Oryctolagus cuniculus: one gene and its partners. The main gene of each other region encodes a partner of the protein of the gene in region 4 in a complex. Links are inferred from orthologs where the notes say so. Each region holds a gene or a part of one and is shown on either strand. Other genes may lie near its edges.

Region 1 (4,085 bases), on a different chromosome or scaffold from region 4:
TAACATTCAGGAACTTATATGCAGACCTATTCCAGCAGAAGATTCAAAAAATCAAACCAGCTAATTTAAAGTTTAAATAACATAAAACTCATATATACCTCAACAAGCTGTGCTTTATTAAGTCCTGGTCTGGTTGGTAGCTTGAAGTGTCTTTTGTATCTCCTAAGCGTATTTACTTGTAATTGGTATAAATCAACCTAGAAAAAAATTTACACATATGAATTAGTCCATACTGTTTTTTTAAAATTTACCACTGATAGGTTCAAGAACAAAATTTCAACTTCAGCACAATACAAACTTAACTCCATGGTTTATATATAAACACTTTAATCTTTCTGGGATAAATACTATAAACTGGTGGTGGTATTATATATTATATATATGAATAAAATTCTAATAGTTGTCAACTGAAAATATAATAATTCAAACTGTATAACTTTTATTAACTGGGTATATTTAACTTTGCTTTCATTTCCAGATTTCTCAAATGTTTTAAATGTTTAAAAAATTTCCTCAAATGTTTTTATAAAAATTTCAGAATGAACTACTTAGGAGTTACATTAAACATACAAAAATTTTCATCTACCTCTGGCGTGTCAATATCTTGAACAGGTGAATCACCTCCATCATCATCACTGCCTTTTCTCTTTCTTCTGTTTCGAACACTCTGAATTAAATTTTTATGATAATCACAAATGTAAAGATGCCTTGCCTGAAACAGAAAGAGTTCACAGACTGCTTATTTTACAGTAAAATGTTTCTGTGCATTAATACACACATAGGCCACAGGGAATTATTGAAAACAGTCAAAACAAGCCATTGGTAAGACAAGAGTATGTTTCTAGTCTTAAATCCTAGGCCTTGTTAAACCAGATGTCTGGCAATACAGAGCGGAGTGGGAGGAGGAAGAGTGTAGTGCCACTTGGGGGAGGGACAGAGGCAGAAAAAGGAGAATGAGAAATTCCAGTCCTCTGGGTTTTGTCATCAAATTGCAAAGGTTGACCTGAATTAGTTATTTCAGGCTGGATTTTTAACTGGCAAGGGAGAAGATGATGTTGACCACAATTCTGTTACCTGATAGTATTTTCCGCTTAAAGAGCAAACTTAAGTAGTACCATGCATGCTTTCCAATCTAATTTACTACCCAAATCATATTACAGGCACAACATTTTCCAAACTAGCTATTAATTTTTATCCTATATTTAAATTTCAATTATAAATTTTTCTAAGTATTAAATCAATGTATTTGTATGTGATACAAAGTAATCTGAAATTATTCAAATTCACCTGAAAAGTTTCTCACGAATACCACTAAAGAGCTGTTTAAAACAGGCAGAAAATGTCACAATAAACTTTTCAAAAGCTTTAATTACATATTTTCATGAGAATTGTATAGCGACACGGAAATACTGGGCTTCATATTTTGACAGCTAATTCCTTAAAAAAAAAAAAAAGGGCTGAGCTAACAGGCTTGACAATTTTCAAGCTAAGCCTCAGTTAAAAACATGCAGGACGCGCGCTAGGTTCTGACAGCTTGGTATTCATTGATTGCCAGCCAGAACTCCGAAAAGTAGCAATGGGTGTTTCTAAAACCCTCCCAGTCGGTCAAAAGAACAGAAAACGGAATCCTGATGGCTGCCAAGCGAATGGCAAGACCGCAGAGGCTACGTGCTCCCACGTTCAGAGTAGCTGCGGAGCAGCTGACACTGCAAACACGGTGTACAGCCCCTGCGCCGCGCGAGGCGGCAGGGTGGGGGGATCTCGCTCTGTGTTCCGGACCAAGGACCTTCCTGGGTGTAAGGTCCGATTGGACTCCACTTTCCCCAGAGTAGGGCAGCTACTTCACCCTGGGGCCACACGCCAGCTCGGGCAGCACAACAAAGGCTCCTCCATTCCAAGAAGGGGTTGCCGGGCTGCAAGAAAACTACTCCGGGTGCTCCGTGCGACCTGCCCCTTTGTTTCGATTCCCGATTGCAGCAGAGGAGGAAGAGGGAGGACTGCGCGGGAGAGACGCATGCAGCGGGAGGTCGGGGGGTGGGGAGAGGAGGAGGAGGAGGGGCACCGCAGCGTGTGTTTTTGCGTGTTGGGGGTGGCGGTCGGAGTTGCAGTGACTTTGTTGTTTGCTCCCGAGCTAAGACTTCGCAAGTCCGCACTGCAGCCAGGTCGGGGGTGGGGGTGGGGGTGGGGGTGGGGGCTGAACCTTGCCAACAACCCGTGTCTTTGCCCAGCTGCTGGAGCCCCACAGGGGCGGTCCCGCCGTCACTTACGCTCTTATCCAGCTCGATCTTCACCTTCTTCTGGGAGATGCTCTTCTGGATCCTCTTGCTGAAGCTGGCGTTGCCTGCCGCCCGGCCGCACCGCTCACCGTCCTCCCGCAAACAGCAGAGTTGCCCGGGGCCCGGGCCAGCGGCTCCCGGGGGCCCAGCCGCGGAGACCGCGCCGCCTCCTGGCACCTCAGCCCCAGCGCTCGCCCCGTTCCCATTTCCAGCCGAGGCGGCGGCGGCCGCTGCAGCGACCACGGCGGCCACCGCGGCGGCTGCGTCCCCACCGCGGCTCATCTCCTCAGGCGTGAAGCCGTTCATGTCTCCGCGCTCCGAGGCGCCGGCGCCGACAGAAATCCCCGCTAGTCTCGCCGCTCCGCCTCTCTCCGCCAGGTCCCTCGGGCACACGATCCGGCGGCGGCAATTCACTCTGCACCCCAAGTTCGGCGATGGCCCGGCCAAACACGCAATGTCCCCAGCCTGGCGATTACCGTTGGCGCCGGAGAGTGGACAGTGCTGGGGGTTAAGACTCAAGAGTGGGGCAGCACAGGGACCTGGGACCCCGATTACTGTCACATGGAGACTTCAACACTTGGACCGCGGCGCCTCCGCCTCCCTTCGGCCCCTGGACCTGCGCAAGCACGACGCACCCCCCCCCTTCCGCCCCTTCCACTCTGCCGCGAGTTACCACGGGAATTGTAGTTCCCTACTGCGAAGTCGTCCTGAGTTTCGCCCTAATCTGGCGTCCAGTAAACTGGATGAACTACACATCCCAGCATGCATCGCGCCACAGCGGGCCGATTTTTTTTCCAAAGCACAGGGAAAACAGGAGTGTGTGGTTGTGGATTACGCTGTTTATTCTAGTCTCCTGTGTCTCCCTGGAAGTTGGGTGGTGTTTAGCTCCTGGAATTTCGCGGGGTTGGTGTTCAGAGGAAGTCAGCCGACTCTGAGGGGAAGCATAAAGGCGGGTGGGGGAGTAAGTGAGCGTGCAAAAAAAAAAAAAAAAAAGTTTCGGGGCCGTTCTGCGTGTGTGGTAAAACCGTTTTTGGTGAACTATGCTTTTGAGGGAAACCAAACCAAGGAGAATTCAGTCAGCTGGCGCTTTCCAGGTCTTTGAGGTCCTGCAGCTAACACCTCTGCTTGCCTAAACACCTCTTTCTTGCAGCAAATTAACGGGACGACTGCTAGGAAGGAAATGCCTACTTCTTGACAGTGACAGATCCTACTCAAAAATGCCTTTTCTAAATCCTTGTTCGTTCCTTCAGTGTTTCATTCTTAGGTGCAAAAAGCAGGTCGCTTCCTGGGGTAGAATCACTGGCTAGTTGACAGTAACTGGACTACTTTTTCCCTCCATTCCCAACCTTGTCAGTTTCTCCTCGGATGCCTCTGAAGGAAAGAGGCGTCTAGAGGGGCGCGGACTGCAGCGTTCCTAAGTCATTTGGATTGCTCCTCGGAAACTCCCCAGGGGTAGCTCTGCCCAGTGTGGAGAAAAGCCGCATTCTCCGAGCGGACTGCACGGCCGTGTGTGTTGCAACAGGCTCCTGTGAGCGCGCGTGTGTGTACGTGCATGTGCGCGCGTACGTGTGTATGCTTGCATGTGGGAGCGTGCTGGTGGAGGGCGGGTTTGGAGGAAGGGCGTGGCTAATATAAAAGCTGCGCATTAACTGGTAACAGCGCACCGGTTTAATAGTCTTTTTAAAATTTTTGTTGTTGTTGTTGAAAGGCAAAGTTACAGAGAGATTAAGAGAGGCAGAGACAGCCAGAGATGTTCCATCTGCTGGTTCACTCCCCAAATGGCCATAAGGGAGGGACTGGGCTGGAGCC
Region 2 (4,307 bases), on a different chromosome or scaffold from region 4:
CCAAGTACTTGGGCTCTTGCCACCCACATGGGAAACCTGGATAGTGTTCTTGGCTCCTGGCTTTGGCCTGGCCCAGACTTGGCTGTTGTGGACATCTGGAGAGTGAACCAATGGATGGAAGAGCTCTGTCACTCTATTTTTCAAATGAATATACATACATACATACATACATACATTTTTAAAGAGTGTTAACTTATCTGAAGCTGTGATGCAATCAATTCATTTGCAACTTGTTGAAAAATGAGTGTGGTGGGGGCTGGCGCTGTGGTGCAGTGGGTTAAAGCCCTGGCCTGAAATGCCGGCATCCCATATCGGCGCCGGTTCTAGACCTGGTTGCTCCACTTCCAATCCGGCTCTCTGCTGTGGCCTGGGAAAGCAGTGGAGGATGGCCCAAGTGCTTGGGCCCTGCACCTGCGTGGGAGACCCGGTAAAAACTCCTGGCTTCGGATTGGTGTAGCTCCGGCCGTTGACACCATTTGGGGAGTGAACCAGCGGAAGGAAGACCTCTCTCTCTGTCCTTCCCTCTCACTGTCTGTAACTTACCTCTCAAATAAATAAAATCTTTAAAGAAAAATGAGTGTGGTAAGAAGGCATCTTCACAGACGCTATCAGAAGGAGCTCATGGCCACAGACTGTGTTTACCCAGCGTTTGTGCAGGAGAGAAACACTGAATCAGCAAATCCACCACAGGGAAGCGGCCTGCAGTGAAGTATGGCCTACCCTTCTCTCGTGGCTTCCCTTTTACATTTCTAGGTCTGTAAAGGTGTGGGGGTGTGGGACATGCCCAGGGCATGGGGACCCACGTGGGGAAAGGTGGCTATTTCATCACAGTGGCCACATACGCCAAGGGAAGGGATCTGGATTTCCCAGCAGGAGGGGCGCCTCTCTGGTCACCAGTCACTCTCCTTGCACAGCGGGCTGCAGTCACACCGGCCAGTTCCTTCCTCCCTGTGGCCGGACTCTTACCTCCCACACATTTGCCAGGCTTGCTCTTCCCTCACGCTCTCTGGGTCTTCACACAAAGCCCCCTCTCGGAGGGCCTTCCCAACCCCTCTTCTCTCATTCCCTCGTGTCACACACACACACTTGTTTACAAAGGGCGAGCACAGTGTCTGCTTTCTTACAGCTACAGTGCTAATGCCGAGGACGGCACGTGCAGCACGGCGGCCGCTCGGTAAATGCTTCTTGAATACATGACTACACAGAAGAGGAGGCTTCGAAAGAAAGAGTTTAGTTCTGAATGTGCTAAGTTTGAAGCACCCATGGGACACTCAGGCAGAGCTATGTAGTGGCCAAGGAAATAATTTTAAATGATAACGATGTTAATATCAAGTAATAAAAACAGTGGTTATTTTCCAAACATGGTGCTAAGCATATTACACTTAAGCAAAAAAAAAAAAAAAAAAAAAAAGGCAAAAAAAGCATTCTAGGGGCACAGGGTGAGGGCGAGGGAGACATAGAGAGAGACACAGAGACAGAGAGACACCAGTGCGGCAGGGAAGGGCGAGGCTGCCCAGGACTCTCCCTGTCAGTTTCGCACCCTCCTGTCTCCTCACCTTCATGTACTTGTTGAAGACCGTCTGGATCTCCTCATTGATGCTCGGCTGCAAGACAGCCCGGAGGAGATCCATGGAGATGGCCGGGTCTGTGAAACTGCCGGGAGGGAGGGAGGGAGGCGGTCAGGGGGCTCAGGGGGCGGCACCATCTCCCTTCCCTGACACAGACACTGCTCCTAGCTCCCTGGGACCGCTGAACAAACAGGCTCAGGGAGGCAAGGCGGCCTGTCCAAGTCACCCAGCTAATACAGGTCGGGTTGTCCGACTCGGGGCCTGGGATGCCAACCTCGAGGCTCTGCGACCTCTTTGGCGCCCTCCACCCCGGAGCCAGGGAATGTTAGGGATTTCGGGTGCCGTTCCCCCCACCCCCCCACTTTGCAGAAGAGTTCAGCTCAAGGTCACGGCCACAGCGCCCACAGCGCCTCCTTCCCCCGACTGCAGATCTCTTCTCAGGCTTGTGCGGTGGGGGTCCCACAGCATCGGTCCAAGCCAGCCCTGGGACCGGTTCCAGCCAGGGCCGGCCTTACCTTGTTGTCATCTGAGAGCGGCGGCCCCTTCGCTGCACTTGACGGTGCTTTATCATAATGTTCCAAGGGTTCTGCGGGGACCAAGCGAGGGAGCAAACGTCACTGAAGCCGGTGACACTGACGCGGCGTGGAGGGGGAGGTGCGTGCGAGGATTAGCCTGGACCCCGCTGCACCTCGGCTGCTCTCTCCAAGTCTCCCACCGGGTGGACAGGCCCTGCCCGGGAAGAGGGCCTGAGGAAGTTTCCTGTCCCAAACGTCCCAGGTCCGCCTTTCCTGGAACGGCTCAAGGCAACTCGGGTGCCGGGAGCTTTACCTGCATCTGTCACCCCACCCCGACAACTTCGAAGGGACAGGCACCATTCCTCTCCATTTTATGTTAGAGCAGCCTAGAGGGGGGTGCCAGGACCGGCCCACGTCACCTCGCCGGGAGGGCGGCACCAGAATTTGAACCCAGGTCGTGGGACTGCGAAAACGCCAACCCCCTCGGGCAGCACCAGCCGCCGCGTTCTCTCGCCCGCGGGCCAGGGTCCCGGGAGCCCGAGGCCCCCGCCGGCCCGAGCTCAGGCCTCAGCGGGGGCGTCCTCACCGTGAGAACCAGCTGCCCAGCTGCGCTCGCATCCCCCGGCTCCGGGCCGCCCCGCTCTGTCCCGCTGGGTCCCCGCGGCTGCTCGGCGTCGCCAGTGGCCCCCATGGCGCCCCCGGCCACCACAACTTCTGCCCGACTCTGCCACCGGCCGGAAAGTGGCTCTGTGACGTCACTGGAGCGCGCCGCTCGCCGGCCCGGAAGCTCGCCGCGGAGCGCCGCGGCGTTGCCAGGGGAACCGCGCCGCCGTCTCTCGCCTCAGTCTCCGGTCGCACCATGGGGTAGCACCAAGTGCGCGAGTCTTTGCGGTTAACAAGAAATGGGTTGAAATCCGTTATGATATGGTGGTTAGGGCATTGGCTGTGGAATTGGATCGCCTGCCTTTGTTCCTCCCTCTTAGGAGCTGTGGGATTCGCGGGCCTCAGTTTCCCCGGCCGTAAGATGGGGTTAATAGCACCTAGTTTATAGCGTCGCGGTGAGAATTAAGTGAGTTGATTCATGTTAAGCCCGCCAAAGTCTGGCACGGGTAAACCCCCAAACGGTGCCATCTGTCGTTCCCGTAGGAAATTCTAGCGGCCATACACCGCCTTTGGCCATTTTTTTCTCAGCCCCTCGGAATCGGTTTTGCAAGAGTATAGTGAGGATTGAAGTAGATCATAGATGTTGTGCTCAGATAAGTAGATCCCCAAGAAGCTATCAGCGACCCCATCACACCGACCTGCAAAAGCAAGGTTTATTTTAAAAGTACAAGCCCGGCAGGGGCCTTATCTGACCAGCGGAGGTCAGAGGAAGGCCCAGGTCTTTGTTCGGGACGCTTTTAAAGGGAAGATACGTCAGGGTGCCGGGCCTTTTGTGATTGGGCAGGGCAGTTCCCGGTTGCTCTTAGTCGGAGGGGCGTGTCTCTGTTTGGCTTGGGTGCAGGGAGTTACCTCATTTGGCACTCTCTACTGAGCTGCCCTTGGTCTGCTGAGCTGTCCTTGGTAAGCTTTGATGTCTCCAGAATGCCTGAATGCCTGCTTTTACAAAGGACTCGGGTCTGCTACGGGAAACAGAGGCTGCTTTTTATTTACGTTTTTAAATGGAGCCACTTTGGCTCTTCAGTAGATATATGTATGTGTGCAGCAATTCGAGTATTAGGTGATCAACATGTGGCACTTACCGCCGCGCTCTGACACCAGCTGCTAACTCGGAGGCAAACTTCCTGGCACTGTCAAGGAGGTTTGTGCCTTGTGCCTGGTGTCTGCCGCTCTGTCAGTTCCCAGGGCTAAGCAGTGCCAGCGGACAGAGGGAAGAGCAGGACAAAGGAAAATGGACAGAGACAGAGGAAGAAGAGATAAAAGGGGCGTCTGTGGACCGACCACACTGTTGGAGTCACGGAGTCTGCTCTCTCGGACTCTGCCGGCCAGCCTTCCTACCTATCCCGGCCTATGTGGGATACAGAGACCCAGACACAGGTTTTTGGTGCATTTGTATTGGTGCATTTTGTATTGAAAACACCCAAATACTGATTTTTCATAGTTTTTAAGTGATTTTTTTAGAAAAGATTTATTTGAAAGGCAGAGTTAGAGAGAGAGAGAGAGAGAATGAATCTTCCATCTGCTAGTTTGCTCTTCAAGTAGCCGCAACGGTCCTGGCTGGGCC
Region 3 (3,634 bases), on a different chromosome or scaffold from region 4:
TTTGGTCCTATCTGAGCCAGGCCGGGGCACCCTCTGATGTCCTCCAGGCGCGTGGCTTTGGCTCTCCCTGAGCTCTGCACTCCCATGGCACTGCCTCAGGTATGTTTTCCTCTACAGGGTGGGAACGTCTACAGGATACCCCATCCCTCGAGGGACGAGCACGCAGCAGGCACATGGTACGTGCTGCGGCCCCACCCACCCGCCTGAGGTGCCCATGCCGCAGGCACCCTCTGTGGCTCTGGTGCCGGCCCTGGGGGAGCGAGCGGGGTGCCTCCGTGCTGAAGAGGACGCTCCAGGCAGAAGAATCTGGGCAAAGCCTGCATCTGTTAGAGGTGGTCCAGACTCCCAGAGCACCCTGACGGGGGGCGAGCCCCACCCTCCCATCCTCCCCTCTGCCTGTCTTCCCAGCAGCCACCAAAACGGGGGCCCTGGCGAGTGGACAGAGCCAAGGAGCACGTACGTCTGCAAGAACTGCAGCCAGATGTTCTATACGGAGAAGGGGCTCAACAGCCACATGTGTTTCCACAGCGACCAGTGGCCGTCCCCGCGGGGCAAGCAGGAGCAGCAGGTGAGGCTGGGGGCTCTGTCCTGGGGGGGGGGTGCAGGGGCTCAGGGTCAGGGCTGGACTGCTCTCTGGGGCTGGCTGTGGCTGTGGCTGTGGGGTGGCAGCAGCTGCCCAGCCCTGTCTTTGGCCTGTTCTCCACGGAGAGGCCTCCAGGGCTTCCCCTGTATCCTGGGCAGCTCCTCTTGTCCCTGCCTGCCATTTCCTTAAGGAGCCCCCTCTTCTCCGGGTTCAGGTGTTTGGCACAGAGTTTTGCAAGCCACCAAGACAGGCTCTGAGGCCAGATGGGGACGGACAGACTCCCCTGCGAGCCAAGAAGCCCTTGGACAGCACGGCTGTAGCCTCTGTGGTGATCCCCATGCCGGTGCCTGTGGCTCTGGGGAGCCGAGCCCTGGGGAGCCTGGCCAAGGTGGGGGCTCACCCCTGCTGCCTTTCTGCCACCCTTCCCAGCTTTTGGCGGAAGCCTTGGGAAAAACCCAAACCCCACACCCCAGAAAGTCCTGACACTGAAGAATTCGGGTTGCACATTCGCTCAGTCATTCCATGTTCACTGAGCCCTCTGTGCTGGGCCTGTGCTGGGGCAGCTGGGGACATAGCACTAACCGGGACAGCCTGGCTCCCAGTCCCAGACCTGTCCCAAACAGTGACAGTCCAGAGTGGGCAGGGCTGGTGGAAGAGGATTTCTGGGGGAGCTCCGAGGGGCTCCTGATCCAGCCTGAGGAGATCAGGGAGGGCTTCCTGGAGGCGGAGCTGTCAGAGCTGAGTCCTGGGGGATGAAGAGGAATAAGGCCAACAGGGGTGGAGATCTGGTGATCAGTGATCACGCTGTGGGGCCTCTCTCAACTGTACGAGGACCCCATGGGACACTTGTGTTGCACTCGTGCTGGGTGTTTGGGCCCAAAGATGCCCTGGTCCCGCGGGAGCTGCTTTTGCCACTTGGTCCCCTGGCCCACGCCCCCCGGCCCCACTGGGTAAGTGCTGGCCACCAGAGCCCACACCGTCCTCCCACGCTTCCAAGATCCCCAGCCTCGGGCCTCCTGGGGCTTCAGCCGTGGAACGTCCCCGCACCTGGTGTCTCGGGTCTGGCTTGGGTGTGGCAGCGGGGCAGAGCTGCCCAAGGCCCTGCTCGGCCCTGTTTGCTGAGGGCTCCGGGCGTGGCCACATCCTCTTTCCCTCCGTCCCCTTTTCCGGCCTGTTTGCTGACCTGAAGACCGACTGCTGTAGTGAATGCCTGTGGTCCCCAACTCCCTTCTCCAGGGACAAGAGAAAGACGAGGAAGAAAGGGACGGCAAGGAGGGCGGCCAGCACAGGAAGCGGAAGAAGCGCCCCCAGTCCAAGGCGCTGCTCATCCCTCCCCAGCCCTCAGCCTTCAGGGCGCCGAGCCCTGGGGGCCACCAGAGCTGCCTGCGCTCTCCGGTGTTCCTGGTGGACCGCCTCCTGCAGGGCCTGTTCCAGTGCTCCCCCTACACGCCGCCTCCCATGCTCAGCCCCATCCGGGAGGGCTCCGGGCTCTACTTCAACACGCTCTGCTCCACGTGCCCCCAGGCTGGGCCCAGCCAGCTCAGCAGCTCCGTGCTGGGTGAGTAGGGCTGGGCTGCTCCCTCTCGTGCTGCCCAGGCCCCTCTGCCCTGGACCGCTGCCGTGCGTCTTTGTAGCATCTGGTCCGGTGGCTCTCTCTGGCTGTGGGGTGCTTGGCCTGAGGGTCCCACTGCTGCCCGGAAGTACCCCAGAGCCATCTGGGACCAGTAGCCCTGGGTGCTTGGAATTGTATAGCTGGAAAGAAAACAGAGACCGTTTACCCTGACCATCTTTCTGCCTGCTCATCTCAACATCATTACTGAGATCCAACACATACACGTCAGCCATGTCGCGTGTGACATGTGGCGGGGATCTGGCACAGTGGTTGAGATCCCAGCGGGGACACCTGCATCCCACATCAGAGCACCCGGGCTCCAGGCCTGGATCTGCTGATTCCAGCTTCCTGCTGCTGCTCCCAGGAGGGGGCGGTGATGGCTGGGGCACCCGGATGAGGTTCCCAGCTCCTAACTCTGGCCTGGCCCAGTTCTGGCTCTTTCTGGCACTTGGGGAATAGACATCTCTGTCTCTCTCTCTCTCTCTCCCTTTCCTTACCACTCAAATAAAATGAATAAAAAATCCCATTTTTGAGGATATCTACAAGCGTGTGCCCCTCCCCATACAGTCTGATTGTAGAGCATTGTCATATCCTGGAGGAAGCCTGAACCCTCTAGAAGTCACCCCTGCCCCGTATCCCAGCAGTCCGGGCCCCAGGCAGCCTTGCGTCTGTGTTGCTTCTGTGGGTTGGCCGGAACTCGAGTTGTACAGCGTGCGGCCTTCCACGTCCGATCATTTCACTTAGCACAGTGTTTCCAGGGTTCGCCTCTGTGGTGGCAGGTGCCAGAGTTCGTTCCGCCGCAGGGACGGACCACGTCTGGTCTGTCTGCTCTTGCGTTGCGAGGCGGAGAGCCTTGTTTCCACATGGCGGCGGTGACGGAGAAGCTGGGAAGAGCCTTCCTGCACAGGCGTCTGCTGTGGATGTGGGCTTCCTCCGAGTCACGTGACCACTGTCTGCGTCACCGCTTCCCCGACACTGGCAGCATCCGCGCCCCACCAGCCACGTGTGAGGGTCTTGGTTTCCCCACCCCCTGGCCGATACTTGTCGCTGCCTGGCTTTTTGCTGTAATCAGCTTAGCAGGTGTAAAGTAGTATTTCATTGTGGTTTTGATTTGCACTTCCCTGACAGCCAGCGATGTTGGGCTCCTTTCCACTGTGTGTATGTTCTTAGAAGTGTCTGGACCCTGCCCTGTTTCTTAACATGGAGCGACCGTCTCTTTATCACTGAGTTCCAGGAGTTCCTTATGTTCTGGATGCAAGCCCCTTCCCAGATCCCTCTCCCATCCTGTGGGCTGCCTTTTCATCTTGTTGATGCTATCACTGTGGTCCAAAAGTTTTAGATTTTGATATATTTTTCCTTTTGTCACTTGTGCTTTTGGTGTTAAATGTTCAGATTTTTCCTGAAATGTAATTCACAAACAGTTACTCCAAGGTTTTCTT
Region 4 (3,634 bases):
AGTACCATGAAGCCAGGGAACAAGGGCAGCCATCACTCTTCCTGGTCCCATGAGTTTTGCAGTTGAACAGAAATCGCAAGATTGCAACGAAGGAGAAGATGAAAAATGTACATCACTTCCAGAAAACAACATACTTTTCAGAGGTAACAGATCTCTGATTAATGGAATAAGTGGTCATAAATATTTGAGCCAAGGGGTTCTTGCTATATGATTTGCCCCATTCCATTTCCTTTGGGGCCTTTACTCCTTTTTCCACCAGCTGGAGAAGGGTAGGCAAGGAGGGAGCATTGTGTATGTGGTTTCTGGGAGCACCTGTCATGTGTTATTAACAGGATGTTCTTTTATCAGAGCCTGCTAGACCAAAGGCTGTACTAGTGTTGTCTCATCACTGAGCAAACAGTTTTCCTTCTACTTAAAAGGTGTTTTCTTATTTTAGCAAAATAAGGATGTTTAAAAAAATAATTTTATACTCTTTATACTTCTTCCAGCAATTCTGGTTCTCTCCCATAAATCCCATTAAACACATGATGTCAAACTTAATAATGGATCCAATTCCTAAACTCCTAATATGAGAACTGGCATCTTGAGACCTGTGGCCTGAGTCTGGCTTGCTGCCAGGAAGCAAGATCTCTGGTTACAGGACACTGGAAGATGATACAGATTGAGAGTAAACCCTGGGCATGGATGCAGGTGGCAGCAGGAGCCATGGGGAGTCCAGAGAGATGCATCAGAGACTTGTTGGGCTGAGGAAGGGTTTTCAGGCCTAGAGCTCTGCTTCAGCAGAGCAACTCAGCTTTTATATGTGAGCACTTAAGAAACCTTAAGTTAAAATGAAATTACAAGGGTATTTTATTTTGATGCAAAAAAGTTTTTGAAATCTATGCAGTTTTCAATATTTTCCATGAACTTTTTAAAGATCCCCTTATGCGTGGACTTCATTTTTTTTGGCACCAAATTAACTTAATGTTGAATTTTCCACAAATTTTCTTGAGTGTCTTCACATGTCTATATACTGGTGTTTCATTTAAGATTTCTTGAAACAAAAAAGTTCTACAGCTTAAAAATACTGAAAATCTCTGTTGTATTATCACAATTATTTTAAAACAAGGAGCTGAAGTTCATACAAGTGAAATGACTTGCTTACAGTAACAGTGTTAAGCAGGTTATTTCTAATATGATCTACTATGAGTTAGGGCTGGATTTGTGTGGCTGTCTCAATAATGCACTAACAAGGCACTGATAAATTCAAATTAAAACTTCTTATTTTAATATCTTTTTATAAAAAGAACCAAAATGATTCAACTCAAATTAGACCAATTTTTCTTGAGTAGCCAGTAACATGTAAGATAGTAACGTTCAAATAAAAACCAGTTTAACATATTTAATATCCTTTTTTGCTCAGCTTTGTTTTTAATCTCTGAACTAGAGATGACAGTTGAGGCTTTCCATCCAGCTGGTTTTTATAATTCATGATCATATGAATATGAAAAATCACAATTTCTTTCTTGTAATTTTAGGCTACTACCATGAAAAAACTGTCTTTAATGTCTCATACTTTAAAAAGTTCATAGGAACTTTGGCTGCGAAAATTAAACTTAATTTTATTACACAGCATTTCCAATTTAACACATATGATCAGAGTTTCCTACTGAGCATTATATCTTGAGAATATATCCCAGTCCAAAAGACCAAAACAAAATAATATCCAGAGAGATTAAAGAAAAATATGATTTAAGTTTTCCTTGTTTGTCCTGGATATAAATCCTAAAACAAATAAATCATGTCTGGTGCCTACCTGAACCATCAGTAGGAACTGAACTTGCGTTGATTCCAGAAAGACCGAACAAAGGACATTCTCGGTCTGTGTTGACATGACCCCACTTGTGACATTTAATGCACCTCACATTTCGAACCTGAGAAATAGTGAACATAATTTTGTTTACTAAGATACAAAGAACTTGACCAATGTTCAACATTCTATATCTTGGCAAAGTTTAAAATAAATGACTCACAGTTTTAAAAGATTTTCAGGTGCAGGTATTTGGTTAAGTAGTTAAAGACACCATTTGGGATGCTCACATCGCATACTGGAGTATCTGGGTTTGATTCCTCGCTCTAGTTCCCAATTCCAGCTTCCTGCTAATACAGACCCTGGGAGGCGGCAGGTGATGGCATAAGTAGTTGAGTCACTGCCAACCATGTGGGAGACCTGGATTGAGTTTCTGGATTCTGGCTTCAGCTTGGTTCAGCCTCAGCCACTGTGGGCATGTGGATAGTGAACTAACAGATAGGTGTGCATACTCACATTCTTTCTCTCTTTCTCTCTCTCTGCCTCTCAAATAATTGAGGGAAAAAAAAAAAGACCTCCAGAGGAAGAGACTGTATAACTATAACTATGTTTCATAATTTAATACAGACACCAACATCTTTTACTATAAATTCTGCCCAAAAGCTATGCCACATTCATTTTCTTTTGGCCTCTTGTTTAGTGACAATGTAACAGTCACCCAAAAAGAAATGGTAAAATACCAAAAAATAGCCGGCGCCGTGGCTCAATAGGCTAATCCTCCACCTTGCGGCGCCGGCACACCGGGTTCTAGTCCCGGTCAGGGCGCCGGATTCTGTCCCGGTTGCCCCTCTTCCAGGCCAGCTCTCTGCTATGGCCAGGGAGTGCAGTGGAGGATGGCCCAGGTGCTTGGGCCCTGCACCCCATGGGAGACCAGGAAAAGCACCTGGCTCCTGGCTCCTGCCATCGGATCAGCGCGGTGCGCCGGCTGCAGCGGCGGCCATTGGAGGGTGAACCAACGGCAAAAAGGAAGACCTTTCTCTCTCTGTCTCTCTATCTCACTGTCCACTCTGCCTGTCAAAAAAAAAAAAAAAAAAAAAAAAAAAACCAAAAAATAATTAAATCATGGCCTAATTTGAATGCATTAAACCTTTAAAGTTTTGAATTAAAAAAAAATTCTTTAAAGATTTATGTATTTATTTGAAAGGCAGAGTTACAGAGAGGGAAAGAGAGAGAGAGAGAGAGAGAGAGAGATCTTTCATCTGTTGATTCACTCCCCAAATGTCCACAACAGTTGGAGAAGCACCAATCCAAAGCCAGGAGCCAGGAGCTTCTTTCTGGATAGTAAACACTTCAGGCTTTTCAGGCCAGGTGGTTATCTCTGTTGCAACTACTTGATTCTGCTATTTCAGTAGGAGAGCAGACATAGACAATATATAAAAGATTACATAAGGTGATGTTCTAATAAAATTTTCTTTACAAGAATTTGATCTTTCAGTTAGAGTATGTCCTGGTTCTAAACAAGTAATAGTTTTAAATCTATTCTTGATCTTAAGCTAAGTCTCCAAATTTTTTGAAAACCATAGAGACAGGGCAGCAGGTTAAGCAGCTGCTTGAAACACCAGCACCCCATACTGGAGCTCTGGTTGGAGCCCCAGTTGTTCCACTTCCAATCCAGCTACATTAATGCACCTGGTAAAGCAGTGGATGATGGTCCCAGTGCTTGGGCCCCTGCCATCCATATGGGAGACTTGAATGGAGTTCCGGGTTCTTGGTTTTGATCTAACCCAGCCCTGGCTGTTGTGGCCATTTGGAGAATGAACCAATAGATGGAAGATCAATTTCTCT
Region 5 (4,132 bases), on a different chromosome or scaffold from region 4:
AAATCTTCAGCTTTCAGAAGCCCAGGAATTGATAAAAGCAGAAAACAAAAGTTCTAAAAATGAAAAAAAGTCTTATTTGACAAAACTTGTACTCAGTGAGACACAGGGTTTGTTCTCTCTCTGTTTTCCCTTTAGTTTCTTTTTGGAAAAGTAGTACATTCTCTATTCTTTGGAGGACATTAAAATTTTCTTCTTTTGTTTTATAATGTGGTTTGTTTTAATTTTTGCTATTACTCTTAAAGTTAAAAAAAAAAGGCCCACTTCCTAAAAGTTTGGCTGTTTGTGATTTGATTTCTTTTTAAACATCCTTACAAAATAAATATAGCTGGTTTGTTTGAATAAATTATATTATTTCTTCAGGGGGAAATTATATCATCATTATGCAGAGTCAGACTCAGCATTTCCCACTTTAAGAAACATACAATCTAAAAGGGGACATACTTGGAATATTTACATATAGGGAGAAGAGTATCAGCCAAATTCTACAGTGCTTGGAGTCCTGTTCTCATACCTGCTGTCACCTGGCTTCATCTGTACTGTTAAGATAAATTACTTATCTCCTTAAATGTACAAATGCAAATTTCATTCAAGTAGTTCTGACATATTTTGGTGGAGATTTTCCACTAAGAAACCATTTGCTTTTTGATTGATAAAGCCTCTGGGTACTTTTCTGAAAAATTTAACTTGGAAGTAACCTAACTCAGGACTGTTTTCACTGTTTCTTCTTCCATGCATGCTGAACTAACATCTAACACTTGTGGAGTATTTATTATGTTCCAAACACTAAATTATTACAACCCTAAAATCCTTCATACTAATTTTATCTTTTTTTTAATAGTGAAGAAGTAAAACTCAGAGAGGTTAAGCAACTCGCTCAAGTTCACACTGTTGTTAAATACCAAATAAGCACATCAATTTCAGACAGTCTGATTCCTGGATGAAACTGCAGTTAGCAAAAGAATCACAAAGACACCTCTCAACTGCTGAAACTTTAACTTGCTCCTCAATGCCTGAAATACTTTTACATTTCTCATTTTCTGACACATACAGCATGTCTAGTCCTCAGCACAGTACTGGATACATAAATCTAACCTTTAATAAACATTAGAGACAAAGGCTTCCACAGCAATAATTATAAACCTTTTCCTTTCCCCTTAAACCATGCATTTTTCCACTCCATACTCACTCTTACTAGAAATTTGATCTCACCCCAATATCATTTTTCATGATCAAACAAGATCGAGACCACTCTGCAAGTCCTTTCTCAAGGTAGCCTCATCTACAGCCTAGCAGGTCACTTTTCCTACATTCATCGCCTTGTCTGAGGGGAAGATTTTCCTTCTCTCCAATTTAAACCCTTGATTTCAACCTTCCCAATTCCCCACAAAACATTACCACTTACGTGTTCTGTTAAATCAAGCCTATTTCTTCAATAAGCAATGGTTGCATGTTTGCAAAGTGCTAGGCACTGGGAATTCTATAATCAATAAAAGGGCTCTCAAATGATAATGGCACAACCAAGTAAATGCTATAAATCTGGTAGATGTGAGGCTCTTGACCGCGTTTGCTAACAACCCCGAAGAGGGAAGAGGGTAGCACGAAACCATGGCAATGTATAATGAATGAAAATGTAAGGGAATAAAAGGACGTATAAAAGGGTCGCCATGGGTGGACTGGATAACGGGGTGAAAACGGATACAAGGCAAGTATGAGCGAACACAAACGGCCACAAGAGGAATGAATGATAAATCGGACTCCAAAGGGAGGTGGGTTCGTAAAAGGAAAAGTGGGGGAGGGGGGTCACTCACTTCTGCCGCAGGCTTTCCTCCCTCTCCTTGTCCAGGAGGCTAGGCCACGGCTTGTCGCTCCCATAGGGGCGCGAGTAGCCGCCATAATAGGTGGACGAGGAGACAGAAGCGAAAGGTGTGCTCCGAGGCGCAGAGGGCCGCTCTCGAGAACGTGACCGCGAGCGGGAGCGGTAGGACTGGTTTCTTGAGCTGTGACTGAGGCCACCTACATGGTGACTGAGGCCATTCCGTTCCCCGGATCGAGAGCAAGAGTGCGAGCGAGAGCGGCGGCCCCGCGGGGACCGAGCAGATTTGCTGGGCTTGGGGCTCTTCGACGAACTGCGACGTTTTCCCCCGGAGCCCGAAGTTTCCGGGCTCCGTGAGCCGGATACCCGAGCCATTGCTGCTGCAGGATCCCAGAAGTCGCTGAAGAAGGGGGCGCTCTCACCAGTCTAGGAAGATCCCGGTTGCCTTGGCTTTCAGATCCCGCCACCTTACAACCACCCAAACCTGAGGGGAACCTTGGGAATCGTTTCGAGTACGTCGGTAAACCCCTTCCCCGGACGTAGGCGGTTCTGCAGACTTGAACGGACGTGTGTATCGGTATAAACAAGCCGGTAGGGCAACTGGGTCTACGCTCTCCTCTAGTTCCGAGTGGCTTCTCAAAGCTAAACTAACGGGGAGAGGAGATAAAGTCCTTTCTCAGCTTCGAACTTTGTGGTACCTGAAGAGAAGGATGGCGGAATATAAGATACATTTCACAGAGTGGTCGTATGAACAACACATCCAATTCTGTATGTGTTTCGTGTGCCTTCTGTGTATAATTATGCATTTATGTATGATTGAGAATATATATTGCATATAATTTGGTTTTTTTTCCTAATCCCAAGAAAAATTAGGAAAGTTTATCGCGATTGGGGTGAGCTATGATATCTAAGCTCCGTATTGCCCAGGTAGCATAGAAGGCACAAAGTCTGTGTTAACGTCTTGAGCCTGATACACTCCAAATAAGTTTGCAGCCCAGAGAAAAATTGCATACTTTTCTTACAGTAACTATCTCCACCCGTGTGCTTCAGCAAAAGGAATATGTAACCCTCTCTTTATCCAGCCCCTTAAACTAGTCATCTGCTAGCCTAGCAATATGTGGTTTATGATCAGTATTTCTGTTCATTTTCTACTGTTTTTAAATTTGGGAGGTAGAGACAGAAAGAGAGACAGAGTTCCTATCCACCAATTCACTCCTCAAATGCATGCAACAGCCAGGATTGGGCCAAGCTGAAACCAGGAACCAATACAGGTGTCACACGTGGGTGGCAGGGACCCAATTACTTGAGACATCACCTGTTGCCTCAAGGGTCTGCATTGGCTGGAAGCTGGAATTAGGAGCTGAAGTCAGGAATTCTGGCATTCTGATATGGGATGCTGGCTGCTGCTGCTGCTTTTAAAATATTTATTTACTTATTTGAAAGGTAGAGCAAGAGTGAGAGCGAATGTGAGAGAGATATGGAGGTCTTCTATCTGCTGGTTCACTTCTCAAATGGCCCCAGCCAGTCCTTTGGCAGCTTTTCCAGGCACATTTGCAGGGAGCTGGATTGAAAGAGGCACTGCGATATGGGATGCTGCTGTTGCAACCGGCAGCATAATTTGCTGTACCACACCAGCAGCCCAGGGTATGGGCTCCTTCCTTCCTTCCTCCCACCCTTCCTCTCTTTATTTCTTTTCCTGTTTCTTCTTCTGCTTTAAAGATTTATTTTTTTTTTCAAGGGCAGAGTGACAGAGAGAGAGAGAGAGAGAGAGAGAGAGAGAGAGAGAGAAGGAAGGGAGGGAGGAAGTAAGGAAAGGAAGGAAAGAAGGCAGGAAAAGGAAAGGAAAGGAAGGGAAGGGAAGGAAGGGAAAGAGAGAGAGAAAGAGAGAGAGAGAGAAAGAAAGAAAGAAAGAAAAAGAGAGAAAGAGAGAAAGAGAGAAAGAGAGAAAGAGAGAAAGAGAGAAAGAGAGAGAGAGAGAGAGAGAGAGAGAAAGAAAGAAAGAAAGAAAGAAAGAAAGAAAGAAAGAAAGAAAGAAAGAATCTTCCATATGCTGGTTCACTTCCCAGATGACTGCAGTGGCTGAGGCCTGTCCAGGCTGAAGGAGCCCAGAATTCCATCTGGGTCTTCCAAGTGGGTCACAGGGGCTTAAGTACTTGGGCCATTTTCCACTGTCTTCTCAGGTGCATTAGCAGGGAGACGTATCAGAAACGGAGCAGCTGGGTCTCCAACCAGCACTCCAATATGGGATGCTGGCGTCACAGAGGGTGGTTTAACCTGCTGTGCCACAACACCGGCCCCAAATCAAATGCCTACTCCTCA

What was found.
Region 1: CIR1 (region 4) and SAP30 share a complex: the UniProt entries of both Homo sapiens proteins name them as parts of the histone deacetylase complex. The link is inferred for Oryctolagus cuniculus from reciprocal best matches to the Homo sapiens genes CIRSR and SAP30.
Region 2: CIR1 (region 4) and DNTTIP1 share a complex: the UniProt entries of both Homo sapiens proteins name them as parts of the histone deacetylase complex. The link is inferred for Oryctolagus cuniculus from reciprocal best matches to the Homo sapiens genes CIRSR and DNTTIP1.
Region 3: CIR1 (region 4) and ZNF541 share a complex: the UniProt entries of both Homo sapiens proteins name them as parts of the histone deacetylase complex. The link is inferred for Oryctolagus cuniculus from reciprocal best matches to the Homo sapiens genes CIRSR and ZNF541.
Region 5: CIR1 (region 4) and NKAP share a complex: the UniProt entries of both Homo sapiens proteins name them as parts of the notch corepressor complex. The link is inferred for Oryctolagus cuniculus from reciprocal best matches to the Homo sapiens genes CIRSR and NKAP.

Annotation. Positions count from the first base shown.
Region 1 is NC_091433.1:55,750,236-55,754,320, reverse strand, and holds the start of SAP30 (histone deacetylase complex subunit SAP30), read right to left. Parts: upstream 2,921-4,085; 5' UTR 2,583-2,920; coding exon 2,268-2,582; intron 713-2,267; coding exon 587-712; intron 198-586; coding exon 99-197; intron 1-98. UniProt on the Homo sapiens protein: Involved in the functional recruitment of the Sin3-histone deacetylase complex (HDAC) to a specific subset of N-CoR corepressor complexes. Capable of transcription repression by N-CoR.
Region 2 is NC_091442.1:13,601,526-13,605,832, forward strand, and holds the start of DNTTIP1 (deoxynucleotidyltransferase terminal-interacting protein 1), read right to left. Parts: upstream 2,845-4,307; 5' UTR 2,775-2,844; coding exon 2,670-2,774; intron 2,155-2,669; coding exon 2,084-2,154; intron 1,654-2,083; coding exon 1,557-1,653; intron 1-1,556. UniProt on the Homo sapiens protein: Increases DNTT terminal deoxynucleotidyltransferase activity (in vitro). Also acts as a transcriptional regulator, binding to the consensus sequence 5'-GNTGCATG-3' following an AT-tract.
Region 3 is NC_091449.1:10,111,551-10,115,184, forward strand, and holds part of ZNF541 (zinc finger protein 541), read left to right. Parts: intron 1-117; coding exon 118-176; intron 177-408; coding exon 409-568; intron 569-797; coding exon 798-971; intron 972-1,819; coding exon 1,820-2,141; intron 2,142-3,634. UniProt on the Homo sapiens protein: Transcription regulator which is essential for male fertility and for the completion of meiotic prophase in spermatocytes.
Region 4 is NC_091434.1:66,790,650-66,794,283, reverse strand, and holds part of CIR1 (corepressor interacting with RBPJ 1), read right to left. Parts: intron 1,914-3,634; coding exon 1,796-1,913; intron 1-1,795. UniProt on the Homo sapiens protein: May modulate splice site selection during alternative splicing of pre-mRNAs. Regulates transcription and acts as corepressor for RBPJ. Recruits RBPJ to the Sin3-histone deacetylase complex (HDAC). Required for RBPJ-mediated repression of transcription.
Region 5 is NC_091453.1:73,167,729-73,171,860, reverse strand, and holds the start of NKAP (NF-kappa-B-activating protein), read right to left. Parts: upstream 2,813-4,132; 5' UTR 2,189-2,812; coding exon 1,809-2,188; intron 1-1,808. UniProt on the Homo sapiens protein: Acts as a transcriptional repressor. Plays a role as a transcriptional corepressor of the Notch-mediated signaling required for T-cell development. Also involved in the TNF and IL-1 induced NF-kappa-B activation.